Tamandua tetradactyla: one gene and its partner. The protein of the gene in region 2 interacts with the protein of the main gene of each other region in a biochemical or structural test. Links are inferred from orthologs where the notes say so. Each region holds a gene or a part of one and is shown on either strand. Other genes may lie near its edges.

Region 1 (7,726 bases), on a different chromosome or scaffold from region 2:
ATACAGTCCATCCAAAGTGTAAAATCAGTGCTTCACAGTATTACCACATAATTGTGCATTCATCACCACAATCAATTTTACAATATTTTCATCACTCAAAAAAAAACCCCAAACAGCACATACTCCATATCTCCATTATTAATCACCTGAAGTATTGGTATGGTACATTTGACATTGTTCATGAAAGAATATTAAAATATTACCATCAACTATAGTCCATAGTTTGCAATAGATGCATTTCCCAAACATATCACTTTATTTTTAATCCCTTGTAATAATGACATATATTTGTTCTGATTCATGAAAGAACAGTTTTACTTTTGTACTATTAATAACAGTCATCATCCATTACTTCATCCGCTTCCCTTCCCATCATAAAGGGAATGCATGAATACAAGGAACACAAAAATGAAAAGAAAATCTTTACCTAAGAAATTCATGTTTTCAGTAGCAAAATACACAAGATACTCTACACACTGAAGCAATAGTTCTAAAACTGTCTTGAGTACAAGAATCTCCATCAGATGGCTGGCTTTTACCCCAGAGTTTCTGTCTCACTATGAGGTGTGACCCAAGAATTTGCAGTGCTGATGAGCTCCCGTGTGATGCTTACAATGCTGGTTTAGAAACAACATTTGAAAACTGCATTTGAACATGAAAGGCCCCGTTCTAATCTTGTGGGAGAGGAAGATGCTTATCACCCTGAACTATGAGACCAGCATGTCCACAGCAAGGTTACAACAACTCTTTACCCCATAATAAGTGTTTCTGTCTCTTCATCATTCGGTAGAATTAAGAATTTTCCTTCTATTGATGAAAGCGTGATATTAAAGGGGGCAGCCAAGCATGTTTGTACAAGGAGTAGTCTTGCTCTTATTCCTGAAGGGTCACCCCTGCTTCTGTGCTGCAAGCAGTCAATTCTTTGACTTTTCAAGTAGTTCCTCAAAGATTTCACTGTGCATGTAAAAGAAGATGTATCCACTGCAAAGCCTGGCCTTTTGTATCATAGTCTCTTGGATCTCTGATACCCATAGATCGCTGTAAGTGAACCAGGCCTGCCTCTCAAAGTCATATACATCGCTGACATAATGGCCTGAATCTGGGGAGCTGCCAATATGGCTGACGACACTGATGAGCTGGTAAGCATGAGGAGGATCTCCCACCGTGGCACCTCCTTTCAGTTTCCTGGCTTTAACTTCTGATACACAGAGGGAATTCATGCCAGCCTTCTGCCCACTTAGTTCTGCAGCTCTAATGATGTCTTCTTCTGTAAGTTCCTGGGCATCCAGGTTCCTAAGGCTTTGAGGTAGTGCCTGATGATGGAATTCTTCACTGGTTCTCTCCCCATCACACTGCTGGAGCTTTTCAACCATTCCTTGAGATCCTGCAGGAAAGCTGTTTTCTTTATCCGCGTAAAAATTTTCAGCAGACTCAATGGCACTGTCAAAATGTAACTCTACAAATGAGTTGGTTTTCACAGATTTCTTGAGTTCAGGATTTTCAGGCACTTCTATAAGTCCTGTGTCTGGGCTGACGGTGGATTTACCTCCAGCTTCACAGATCAGGGAAAGACAGTTGTCTACCTGACCCATCACTGAGTCAGCTGCTGGCAGCTCCTTTTCACTGGCTGTCCCATTTCCTGAATTTATCAATTCTGATTCTCTTATATTTAATCCAGAAATATGTCCCTGGTCACTCTGCTGCTTTTCCTGGATTGACCCTTCACAGAAGCCCTGACACTTTTGTGGTTCAGCCTCCTTGTCTGATCTTAGCCCAGAAATTGTCTCTGGAGAAACTTTCAGGACTTGGGAGTCTCCAATACGTGCATTTCTGTATAAGGAAAGGGGTGGTTTGGTGCTTTCATCATAATAATGAGATAAATTTAAGTATTTGGGAATATCAACTTGCTGGTCATTTTTCACAAGCAACCAAACATCGTTAAAGAAATAGCGTTTCAGATGAACAATAAGAATCCTGGGTAGCCTACTGAATTTGTGCACTGCCACAGAATCCCTGTGCTTGCACTTCTCACAATTATACTCCAGCTCTTCTGCTTTAAAGAAGAGATCAAAAGAGTATTGAAGAGACCAAGGAAATGGTCTCATCCCTTGGGGAAGGTCGATGGAGAGATAATTATTTAATTCTCTCTTGAAAACCACATGACTACACCCTTTACAGACAGTGGAGCGCTTCAACTCAAACTCAAAGTTAGCAACAACAGGACAAACAAACACTTTGGTGGCAGCAGCGCCAGCAGAAATCTGTGGAAATAAACTTTCTTCCCCAGGCCCCCTCTCAGTCTTCCACACAGTATTTAATTTTTCCATGTCCTCTTTCAGCTGATCCAAACACTGGCCCAAAAACTCATGAGCATCATTTTGCATGTTGCTAGAGAATATTTCTGCAACTGCAGAAATGGAATTTTTAACATTCACTAGTAACTCTTTCTTGATCTCTGGGCCAGAAGTATCTTTCAAAACAAGCAGCTGGGTCAAGCACAAGATGAGAGCATCAAAAGGAACGCTCTCCCATGGAACCCCTTGACTGAGTAAGTCATGGGCAAATGATGGAATTGCAAATAGCGACTGTAAAGTTGCATTCATGTAGCAGGTGTTTCCCAAATTGGGGAAGCCTTGCCAAAGTTGTTCTGGGTCAGAGTCAAATGGCACCTGGGGGTTATTCTGTCCTGGGTCATTCAGGCTACAGTTTGGCTCCAGTGGAAGTTTCAAACTTCCTTTGGCATAGAGAGTCTGAATAGGAGCAGTCTCATCTAGATTAGGATTTCCCGCAGAATTGGCCTTTGATGAAGGTCCAGATTTTAATTTTCCATTCTCTTTTAGCTCTTTAACATTAAACTGTCTATTCATATTGCTACCTACATAAGTCAAGGGATCTGTCTTGTGTTTCTTCTTTAGTATGGGGTTATACTCTTTCAGGAAGTCGTCATTCATCTCTAGACAAGATGACATCATTCTTTTCCTCTGCCCACGTTGATTTTCTAATAACCCCGACCTGTCAAGTGTCAACAATTCTGATGTTAATGAAGGCATCTCCTGAAGGACAGGTGTTCTACTTCCTTTCTCTGTAATAAACGATCCAAAGGTTGGCATGTCACAAACTTTGTGAATTGGAGCTTTGCTGATTTTCTGGTGTGTTATCCTGCTGTCAAAGGCACTATCAAGTTTCATGGATTTTTGAAACTTGTTTTGATGGACTCTGTCCAGGAATATCTTCAACTCTTCAGCATCTCTGAAGGACAATTTCTTGATAAACAGGGAACTGCTGTTTTGGAGGGCTAAATGCAGGTAGCTTTGTTTATCCCTGTGATGTCTAAGGATAACACTTGTAATATTGTTATTTAACTGAAAAGTCCTTATAAAGTGTTCAGACTTGAAGTGAACCACCAGTCTAATTTCCTTCTCTTTGTCCACTATTTTCACGAATGCTTCTTTTGACTTGGTCATCCCAGTCGCTTTGCTCCAAATCTGGACGAATCCATGCACCCCTGGAGGAGTCACCCTTTCTTTACAAACAAAGTCCATGTAACCTAAAGAAAAAGAACACACACATACACTTTCACACAATATGTCTTTCACAATGATAGTTTATGGAATAACCCTACATTATAATAAATTGCTTTTAGTTTTCTTTTTATGCCATAGGTGAAATACTCCTTTGGTGAGCATTTATTTATATTTTGAAGTTATGCTGCTGTAGAAAACATAGACTCAGAATATGTATTCATTCAAGGGAGCTGTAAGAAGGAGTCAAAGATGAAGGATGGTCCAAAACTGGGTCAAATGTACGGGAAATTAAGGGACATTTGTGCCCCATGGGCAATGCTTCAAGGAACCCTGGGATCTATTCAGAATGGTAAGTATCGACAGATGAAGAATGGATAGATAATAGTGGCTCCTTCCCAGAGTTTAGGTTATTAATTCATGAAACACTTTTTTTTATTCATTAAAAAAAATTAACTAACACAACATTTAGAAATCATTCCATTCTACATATGCAATCAGTAATTCTTAATATCATCACATAGATGTATGATCATCATTTCTTAGTACATGAAACACTTTAATGTCTGTAAAATTAGTATATAATAGTAACTGAGACTCCCAAGAAGATGGTGGAATAGGATAGGTTGAATTGCCACCGCTCGAAAGAACAGCTAGAAAATTGACAGAAAAAAGACCGGGAGAGCAATTCCAGGGTGTTAAGTGACCTGGGAGGGTCTTCTCCATCACCTAGGGAGGTTCTGGTTGAAAAGCAGAAGAACTGAGACACAAAGAACCATAGACCAGTCAACGAGTGCAAACAGCCCAGCGCGTCCATCTCCTGACAGGCGGGAGCTGTCAGGAGTGCACGGACAGGGACGGGGGCAAGGAAGGGAGCCAAGCTGGGTTCCTTGAATGTGCTACACTCACATGTGTCTCCCCCTGCCCTGTGACTAGCCCCACACCCCACGCACCTGAACGCTGTCACCTGACCCCCACTGTGCTGCCCGGACCCCCCTCCCTGTACACTGCTGCCCCACTCCCCCACCCCTGCGCGTGCCCCCAAGCCTGTCCCAGCCTGACCCACCTCTCCTGCGCAAGTGCAGTCTCGCCCTGCCCCTCCCAAGACCTGTGTACCCCAGCCAGCCCCTCAACCCCCACCTTCCCCTCCCTAACCCCTACAGGCAATCACCGGCACATCCGGGCTGCAGACACTCACCTTCATACCTAGGCCACAACTAAGCCCAGCCCATACAGTCACTCAACCCCGCCTGGCTCCCCTTGAGCTTTGCACACATGCATATCAGAATCCTGTCCCCTAGACACGTGCACACACTCGTGCCCACTCACACCAAGCAGCCTCAGTTCTGGACAAGATTGACCTGTGTATCCGGGCACTCTAGCCCCCAGCCCATACAGGCCCAATCCCACCCCACTGCCCCTGAGCTCTGCACAGGTGCACACCAAGGCCCCACCACCCGGACCCGCACACACCAGGGCCCTGGCCCCCAGATCCATGCAGCAGCACAGCCACATCCTCCCTGCTGGACACCCACATATCCGTGCATGACTCTTGACCCCTGCACTCCACCGCTCCCGCACCCCACCCGCGTGCACACCCTTGCCCAACCCACCAGGGCCCTGCCCAACGCACCAGGGCCCCGCCCACCCCTGATGCATGTCCCACAACCAACCTCCGTGACATTTCCTTGCCCCTACACACTCGTACATCCACGTCCCTGCCCTCGTGGACCCCTTCCTCTGTGCAAGGACACACCCACACCCAACCTCCCTGTACCCTGATTCTGTGCATTGCACCCCACACTCTGACACCCACAACCCACATGCTTCACGTGCCCACCCACATCCTGCCCACATACAAGCCAGAGCATAACTGCTCAGCACCCCCGTTCACCTCCTGCCATGACATGCCTCTGTGTCCCCCATGCCTCACCTTGCCCCTGCACTCCAAGGCGTGCTTGAGCTGCACCTTGCCCCTGTGGCTCCTGCACTGCACGTCCACAACTCCGTGACCCTCAACCCAAATTCACAGGCACCAGTGTAGAGTCCCCGGCCCATGCACATACCTGCACCGCAACCCATCGTTGCACTGTTGTGTCACTCCCAATGCCCCACATTCTGCTCCATACCCGTTCCGCAAATACAAAGCTTTAGAATACTGAAAGAAATCAACATCCAAAGTAACCCTATCAAGATATTTAGATGCCACGAAGACAACAGAGGATCACTAACCATATGAAGTTGCAAACAGATACAGCCCAGTCTGAAAATGAAATTAAAACATCAGAGGAGACACTGACTTTGAAACAACAAATCGAAGATGTTCATATAAGTTTACTAAATAAAATCAGTGGGATGGCTAATAACATAAAAGAGATCAAGAAGACATGAGAAGAGCATAAAAAGGAATTTGAAAGAATAAACAAAAATAGCAAATGTCACAGAGATTAAAGATGCTGTAGACCAAATAAAAAGAACTATACTAGAGACACACAACAGCAGATTTGAAAAAGCAGAAGAAAGAGTAAGCAAACTAGAGAAAGGAACATACAAAGAGGAAATAAGAAAAAAGATGAAAAATGTGAATTGGATCTCAAGGAAATGACAGATGAAACAAAGCATACAAATATAAGAATCATCCAAGTCCCAGAAGGTTGGGGAAAACCTTCCCAACCTTTATAAAAGACATAAATATACAAATCAAAGAGCCCAACAAATTCTAAATAGAATAAATCCAAATAGGCATACCCCAAGACACATAGTAATCAGTCTGTCAAATGTTGAAGAGAAGCAGAAAATCCTGAAAGCATCAAGAGAAAAAGAATCTACTACATACAAGGGAAACCACATAAGACTGAGTTCAGACTACTCAACTGGCACTATGGAGGCAAGAAGGCAGTGATATGATATTTTTAAGATCCTGAAAGAGAAAGACGTTCAGTCAAGAATTCTTATCAGCCAAATTGTCTTTCAAAACTGAGGAAGATATAATTTACAAGATTTTTTTGATAAAATATTGAAAATAATTGCAAAAAAAAAGTGAGGGAGAGATGAAAATTTTCACAGACAAACTAAGGCTTTAGTTTAATAAGAGATTATGTCAACAAGAGATTAGCTCTACAAGAAATACTAAAGGGAGTTCTGCCTGAATAAAAAAAGGGAGAGAGAGGTCTGGAGGAGGGCATAGAATTGAAGTGTACCAGCAAGGATAACCTAAAGGATAAAAAGAGAAAGAGGGGAAAGAACATAGAGCTCTAATAAAATCCAAAGGAAAAGAGGGTAGATTCAAGAACTGCCTTTACAGAAGTAACTTTGAATGTTAATGAACTAAACCTACCAATTAGATACAGAGTGGCAGAATGGATTAAGAAATACAATCCAGCCATATGCTGTTTACAAGAGACTCATCTAGACACAAGGATACAAATAGAATGAAAATGAAAGGAGGGAAAAAATGTTCCATGCAAGCTGCAACCAAAAGAAAGCAGAAGTAGCTATACTAATAATGGACAAAATAGGCTTAAAATGTAAAGACATCATAAGAGACAAAGAAGGACATTATATATTAGTAAAAGGGACACAACTAAGAAAATATAACAATCATAAATGTCTATGCCACTAATCAAGGAGCTCCAAAGTACATGAGACATACAATGGCAAAACTGAAGGGAAAGGTAGATATTTCAACAATAATAGTAGGAGACTTCAATATACCACTCTCCTCTATAAGCAGAACAACCAGATAGAGGATCAACAAGGAAACAGAGAACTTAAACAATTTGATAAATGAGTTAGACTTAGTCATCTCTGGTAGGCATGGAACATTCTCCAGGATAAATCATATGCTGGGACACAAAACAGGTATTTATAAATTTAAAAACAGTGAAATTATTCACAGCACTTACTCTGATCATAATGGAGTGAAGCTGGAAATCAATAACCACCAAAGAACAACAAATTTCACAAATATGTGGAGATTAAATAACATACTCTTCAACAATGAGTGTGTCAAAGAAGAAATTTCTAGAGAAATCAGTAGCTATCTGCAGATGAATGAAAATAGGAACACAACATATCAGAACTTATAGAATGTGTCAAAGGCTGGGCTGAAAGGGAAATTTATTGTCATGAATGCCTGTATTAAAAAAGAAGGGAGGGCGGGCCGCGGTGGCTCAGCGGGCAAAGTGCTTGCCTGCCATGCCGGA
Region 2 (8,035 bases):
TAAAATGGAGCTATTTTAGTCTCAGTTTCTGCAAAGTCTCTATGAATCCACTTGTCAAATATTTCCATTTCCAAAATGACTGAAGTAAGAATAAAATCCCATTTAGAACATGCCAAAAATACTGTCAGTAAAGGATTTTGAAACCATTGGTCCCTCATCCCTGGAGAACATAAAAGGATTAAAATTAAAGACAAAGTTGGAGATTAGAGTAGTTATCAGGGGGCTGATATGGGGCTGGGTGGTGGAGGGTGCTCAAAACAGGGGGAGAGGGACTTCAAGGAGACCATCTAAACAACTTGAGGTTTATTTCTGGAAATTTGGGGAGACACAATGAACTGGTGACTGAAGTTGAGATGAAATTGTGATGTTCAGATTCCATCTTTAATTCATGAAAAAAAAGGAATTAAAAGGAATTGCACAGTCAAAATTGAGGTAAACTAAGATGGGCTCCATTCCCCTCCCTCACTTCTCCAGATTCAAGCTGTATTATTACACAAGATCCTTTGGTTGCAAATGACAAAAATATAACTTGAACCAGCGTAAGTAAAAAATGGGAATTTACTGGTCTACACAACCAATCACAAAATGGGAGAAGTGGATGAACCCTGGGGGTGACTGGATCCAGAGACACAACTACTTCCAGAACTTTCTCTGTATTTTATCTCTGCTTCTTACTGGGTGTACACTTCATTCTCTCAATCGGCCAGGCTTTATTAACTCAGTGAGAAATATGGCCATAAGCAACTCCCAGACTGCATGTCACAGTCACCAAACAGAACTGTTCACTAACAGCTCTGGTTAGAAAAATTCTGGGAAAAATTCTGCTGGGCCCACCTTAAATCGCATGACCATGCTTGGACTGTCTTTGTTTGCCAGGGTTGCTATAACAAATACCACAGACTGGTTGGCTTAAATAACAGGAATTTATTGTCTCACAGTTTTGGAGGCTAGAAATCTAAAATCAGGGTATTGGTAGACCATGCTTTTTCCAAAGTGTATAGTATTCTGGTGGTGGCTTGCTAATGATCCATAACTTATCTTTGTTTCCATCACATGGCAATCTATCTCTCTACTCCTATGTCCAAACTTCCTTTACTTATAAAGACTCCAGTAATATTGGATTCATGCTGATTCATTTTGGTTTCTCTTAATAGCATCTTCTAAGAGCCTATTTACAATGAGTTCATATTCAGAGGATGTGCAGTTAGGATATGAATATATCTTTGTGGGGAATATGATTCAATCCATAACATGGACTGATTCCAAGAGGCATGTGTATCAGGTACAATGATTGGTCCAACCTAATATATGGCGCCTATCACTGTCGACAGTGGGCTATGGTCTACTATCAGAAGCTAAGGAAAAGGTGCCAAGCAGACAAAGAGAAAAAAAAATCTCTCCAGATCAAGAACCTGATAGTTTTTCTAAATACTACTTGACTGCATGAGTGTTCTTATTCCTTTGCTAATATCTGAAAGCATTTTTATCTGAAACCATTTACAGATCCCACTGAATAACGGCACAAATAATAAGAAAAAACCATGTTTCCCCCTTTTGTTATTTTTCATCTATTGTCACTAAATAAAAGCTAAGGTGTCAAAATAAGTACAAACTCTCAAGAAGAAGATAAGAACTCTTTCCTTGGATAAAGATTCTCTAATATAGGATCTAATATAGGATTAGATTCTAATATAGAGGAAGGGATTTCGCTTTTATATTCTGGACCAAGAATAGAGACATCCAGGCCCAAGTTTCCATGTAGTTCATCTAGGCAATATAAAATTAACAAAAATTCACTGTTTGAGTCAAACTGATCTGTGCCTTCCTTTAAGTTACCTTAGAATCTTAAAAGAGGAACTTCTAAAACATGCATATGCCTGAGCCCCACATAAAACCAATTACGTGAGAATCTCTGGAGGTGAGCCACAAGGGATCTGTATTTTCAAAATTCCCCTGGGTAAATCCAGGGGAGAAAACACTGACATTTTGTATCACCCACCAAATACAATTCACCAACATAAAGTACAAAGAAAAAAATGAAGAAAAATTTATTCATAGAATTTTTTAAAGATGGCTTTTCAACTACATACATAACTTCTGTAATGTAGAATAAAACATAATAGATGGGCTTAATGAAAACACATGATAAAATTTAGTAACAAGGACTAGTGGGGAAAGAGGGGCTAGGGGAATTGACAGTTATTGGGCCTACTTGCCTGCTTAAGCAATCTGCAAGCCAATAGGACAAGGATTGATTTCAGACTAATATCAATATCAGAAGTTCAAGTCACCAGGTAAAATATAGAAGCAGATGTATCAGAGCAGCTGATCAAAATTATGCAATATACTCACTGTGAAACACATTCAACAGAAAACACGGATAGATGGATGGATGGATATATGATTACGCAATGTGGTAGTTAGGTTCAGGTATCAACTTGGTCAGGTGAAGGTGCCTAGTTCTGCTGCTGTGGATATGAGCCAATGGTACGTGAACCTCATCTGTTGCTCATTACATCTGTAGTTGGCTAGGAGGCCTGCCTGCTGCAATGAATGATGTTTGATTTAATTGGCTAGTGCTTAAATGAGACAGCTCAACATAGCACAGCCCAAGCAGCTCAGCATACCTCATCTCAGCACTCGCAGCTCAACCCAGGCCTTTGGAGATGCACAAAGAATAACCCCAGGGAAAGTTGCTGGAACCCAGAGGCCTGGAGAGAAGGCCAGCAGAGATCACCCTGTGCCTTCCCACGTAAGAAAGAACTTTAGGTGAAAGTTAGCTGCCTTTCCTCTGAAGAACTAACAAAATAAATCCCCTTTTATTTAAAGCCAATCCATCTCTGGTGTGTTGCATTCCAGCAGCTAGCAAACTAGAACAGGCAGGTACAGTAAAACGTTAATAGAATCTTGGTGGTGGGTATATAGATGTTCACTGTAAACTTCTTTCAACTTTTCAATATGTTTGAATTTTTCATAAAATATTGGAAAGAAAATCAAGAAGAACAGCATCGTTGCTGTAGTGATTAGTTGGTTGTCAGCAGGATACTTTCCTAAACAAAGGAGTAGAAAACAGATCTTGTATTCCAGAGAAAGGGAGGCCTGGCAAAAGCTATTCATTCATTCAGAAAACATAATAAACATTTCTTGAGTTCCCACTTTGTAGCATCAATTGATCAGAGTATCAAAGACAAATAAGATATGGACCTACAGACTGTCCTACAGACTAACAGCACAAGTAAGAGGCAGTCCTAGTTTGGTAATGCAAGGAGAGGAATGACAGGTAAGAAATGATCATCCCATTGATTTAATCTGCTTCTATTTGATTATTAGTGCACTATCATTTCACGTGTAGAAATGTTCTGTTATCTCACTTGGACAACTGAATGGATAAAACCCTTCCCTGAGATAGGAAATGCACAGGGAGGGACATACTTTTGGTGGAGGAGAAATTTTAAATTTGCTTCAGGCATCATAAAGTTTAGGTGTTTATGTAACCTCTAAGTAAATATGTCCAATAGGTCCAAAATTCAGGGAAAATCTGAGCATTAGAAAAAGAATGGAAACATATGGGAAAACAAGACCTTCTGTGAGAGCCTTCAGAGACTGCTTATAGTGAGAAGAAATTATTCTTTCATTTTTTTATCCATTCGTCCAACTATCATTGTCACTAGAACTAATAAAAAACGAATGTTTCCAGAAGTTCTTAACTTCCTGATTAGAATATCCCATGACCTATTTGCAATCACAAATGTTTTTTACTTCCTTGTGTACCCCATTTATTTGATTGACTACTCCTTAATTGAAATGCTCTCCTCACTTTCCCGATTCAGACTATTTCATAGCAATCTACTTTTCAGTCTCCTACTGAGACTTAGAATTTGACAACATACGCGTAGGGTTCCATCCGTGATTCTTCCACGCAGTGTCCATAAGTGAGTTGATTATTCAAACCCACTGCCTCAACCACCGTCTATATTTATTCTTAAGTCTTCATGTCCAAGTTCAGTTTTCCCACAGTTATGCTTCAGGTCAAACTGACTGAGGTTTAGCAGCTAATTTAAAACAAAATTGCGGTGGCAACACAACATAGGCAAAATCAACAGCCTTTGAGACACACTGGTCCAGGTTCTACTAGCTTGTGAGGACCAGTAATTGTTTTAACCCGAGTTTATTTTCTATACGTACTGAAAATGGCAACAAAAATCTTTAATTTGCAAGGCGATTACTGATTAAGTTAAATGTAAAGCATCTATGGTAGTGCTCTGCACTTGACGTGTTATTAATATAGTCTCTAACGAGGTGAACACAACAAATTATGTTAAAGTATCTACCTTATCTAACTAATCTCTGAAAATATTGTAAGAACAAAATATTGACTTGTTTGTGAACACTCGGCCTTTCAGAGTTTAAAGGAACAGCAACTGTTTCCTTTTATAAACACTGAGGAAAACAAATTCTACGAGGTTTCTTAAGAACACAGCTCAGTTTACCTTAGGGCTGAAACTGAAAAGTAAGGTTGCCACAAAAACTCAGTTCAATACTATCCCGACCTCTTTGCAAGCCGCTCAGACTAAACGGAGTGAGGTCATGACAAAGTTCACCAAAACAGAGGCAAAACCGTAGTTTTAATCTTTCCCGCTGCTTCTTAAAGGACCAACCACAACGACTTCAGTCGTGCTGCACGCCACTTCCGTTCGCGCATTTTAATTATGTCAGCGCAAGAGTTCTCGCGGTATCATCCCGTTGCTGGGTCCCTGTTAACGAAGATCTCGCGAAATTTGTTTTACAAGTTCAAGCAAGCCTTTCACCCTTATGCCCCACCCGCAACCTGTCCTTCCTTTTTCTTTCCCAGGCCCCAAATTCTCCCCTCCCCGCCTTCCAGCCGCAACCCTCCGCCTGTTTCCGATTTCAGACCGGAGCCGGAAGTGTGGTGGGCGGGGCCGGGTGGCGGAAAGCGCAGCCGACCCGGAGCTGGAGCCGGGACACGGCTGAGGCTGCGGCCCCTGCCCCCGCCACGGATCGCGGGGTGGCTGGGCTGCGCTGCGCGGCTCCAGGCTGAAGGCCAGTCCAGAGGCGGGTGGGCGCGGGCCTCCCCCGGAGTGTCCGGGCAGCAGCCTCCCCAGGCTTCGCGAGGGATCATGTCTACAGCCTCCGCCGCCTCCTCCTCCTCCTCGTCTTCGGCTGGTGAGATGATCGAAACCCCCTTCCAGGTCCTCAACTTTGAAGAGATCGACTACAAGGAGATCGAGGTAGAAGAGGTGAGCGAGGACCCGCAAAGAGGTACCGGCCCTGGGCGGTCCTCGCCTCTGCCTGGTCCCGGCTCTGAAGGCGCCTCCCCGACCTCTTGGATTCTGGGCGCCCCTCAGGGTCCGCCTTGGAGTCCCCACAACCTTGCAGATACCGGGTGTTGGGGGGACTCGCAGCGCTCACCTGCTCCGAGGTAGATTTCTTTTTTCCTCACTTCGGCATTCTTAAATTTGGATTTGATAATCCAGTGCCCGGATTTGGGTCACCTCAAGTAGAAGGGTGAACTGGTGAGATAGTGTGGTCCACCAGTTCTGGTTTCTCTAAGTAGTAAATTCAGAAAGACCGTGGCCGTTTGGGAGTTTCAGTTAGTCTAAAGGCCAAGGATTGTATGACGTTCAGCTTTCAAGCTCCGTACCTGGTAGGTAGTGGGCGCTCGGTAAATGTTAAATTAATAGCTCGCCGAGTCTAAATACATTGTCTTCCAGAGTACCGAATGGTTCTCAGTTTCGTCGATTCCGTAGAGTAGGACTCGTAATCTTAACAAATGTTCTGCCTTCAGTTAGGCTAGTTTAGATAAATTTCACCATTAGTCATAGGCTGGTCTGTTATGATGGAAGGATGTTTCAAGTAGCGTATCCTGAAGCGGTAACTAAAGATCGCGGTGACAACTAAAATGTAAGACCAGTCGGGAAACCACGGTTGGAAAATCCTAATCCGTTTCATATTCTATAAAAATTTTAGTTATTTTAGAAGATATTCCAGTTTGTCTTTAATACATTGCTTATTTTCAAGTTTACAGATGAGCGATTGGCGATAAGGACTATAAATTTAGAAAAGATAAAACAGTATGAATAGACATTTTAAAACATGTTAAAAACTTTGAATGAAAATGGCATCTATTAAAGTTACCAGTTTTTAAATTTTTTAGACACTTTGCATTACATATACGATGAAGAACACAGTATGTCTTACTGAAAACTTATAGACTCGAGAAAAGTTATCTCTAAAAATCTAAAATTTAGATTGCAGTGAGCTAAAAGTGTAATATAATTCACAGTCATCAAATAAATACATATTTTTCCTATTTGATTTTGGAAGAATATTGGATTATATTTTTGTTGCAAGGAGTAATCATGGAAATTATTGAGACCAGCCTTGTTTTTATTTTTCAAGGAAATATGCTAGGAAGAACAGGATCTTTGGAGTTAGAATAAGGTGCAGTATATCAAATATGCCACTTATTAGCTGCCTGGTTGGCAGCATAATTTCCTAACTAACCCCTTTGAATTGTAGTTTCCTTAACTGTAAAATAGAGATGTTAATTTCTATCTCACTTTGTATAACAGATCCTATTAGTCAATTAAACACTATGGCAAAATACCCAACACACTGCCTGAAACATTAGGAAACTGAGATTCAGAGAGGAACAGTGACCTGCTTAAAGGTCACATGGCTAAAAGAAGATCCATATCTTGAAAAAAAAAAAGGGAGGGGGAATTTTTTTGCATGTTTTCTTCTATTGAGGCTATGATAAATTCCTTTTTCAGAAGTGGTAGTTGATCCAGCTTTCATGACTAACATTCTTTCTTTTTTAAAAATAAAAATTCAGTGAGTCAGTATACAAGAATTGCAGTTTTTAAATAAGCCTTTACGTCTACCCTGTGGCAAACTGCTATGCTTGTAGACTACAAATTGTTATATAATAATAACTTGTACTTCATGGTCTACCAATGCTTTCACAGTCTTAACTTCATTTGATTTTTAGAACAACCTCAGTTTTGCACACTGTTTTCTAAAGCTTTTGCTTTCTTGCTTCATGGAGGAATTGGAGTTAGTAAGAAGACATTATCATTTTGCAGTTCTTCCCCCAAAGGTTTTCACTTTTGGTTAGGGTTCCATGTGTCCAATGACCCTTCTTTCAGTTTTCCCACATGTCCAATGACCCTTCTTTCAGTTTAAATAATGTTTAGAACTTCGTTTGGTGGATTTAGGATATTTGTTTTCATTTTCTAATACCCATTTTATTTTCACATTAAAGGTGAATTTGGATCTTTCTGCTATTGAAACCATGACACAATTTCATCAGGTTCTTCTTTTGCTTGCATCTTTGGCATACATTGTTATATAATCCATAGTGCACCATGGGCACTCATGGCTGTTTCTCAACTTAGATTTTGCTTTTAGGTTATAATCATGAATAACAGAGCAGAGAAAGATAACCAAAAACAATAAGTATTTTGGATTGCTTTCAATATTTTATACAGTACAGGTATATTACTTTTTAAGTAAAAAAAAGTCATATTCCATATTTCTCAAATAACAATATAACTGATTGACATTAAGTGAATGTAATTAGAAACTGTGTAATATATGCTTCAATCATAGGCCAGATACACATTTTGTAGAAACAGATTTCTAAGATCATCAGCTGATTTTAATCCTTAAATTCCTAATACTGTGATTAGGAACACTTGGGCACTTCTTAAACCTAATTCTGGTAACAAAATTATATATATCAGCCTCAGAAATCTACGTAGGTACTTGTAGTCATTTAGATTTTAACATTCTGGATCTGGGTATAGAGAATGTTAGAATAAATTGTGAGGTATGTATATTGTAGACTAGGTTGCATAATATGGTAAAGGCAGTGTGGTGTAGTGAAAAGTATACTGGTCTGGATATTTAGAAAGTGTAGGGGCTGTGCTGATTTTGCCACAATATATTTTTGTAACTTTGAGCAAGTCACATTGTATTCAGGGCCCTTAGTTTCTAATGTATAATAAGGGCT

Evidence for each region. The genes of interacting proteins can lie anywhere in the genome.
Region 1: the proteins of MAP3K7 (region 2) and USP29 form a complex in vitro, tested with the Homo sapiens proteins (2 studies listed by BioGRID). The link is inferred for Tamandua tetradactyla from reciprocal best matches to the Homo sapiens genes MAP3K7 and USP29.

Annotation. Positions count from the first base shown.
Region 1 is NC_135342.1:2,039,915-2,047,640, forward strand, and holds USP29 (ubiquitin carboxyl-terminal hydrolase 29), read right to left. Parts: upstream 3,543-7,726; coding exon 915-3,542; downstream 1-914.
Region 2 is NC_135331.1:147,859,784-147,867,818, reverse strand, and holds the start of MAP3K7 (mitogen-activated protein kinase kinase kinase 7), read left to right. Parts: upstream 1-4,916; 5' UTR 4,917-5,138; coding exon 5,139-5,258; exon of another isoform or gene 5,259-5,280; intron 5,281-8,035. UniProt on the Homo sapiens protein: Serine/threonine kinase which acts as an essential component of the MAP kinase signal transduction pathway. Plays an important role in the cascades of cellular responses evoked by changes in the environment.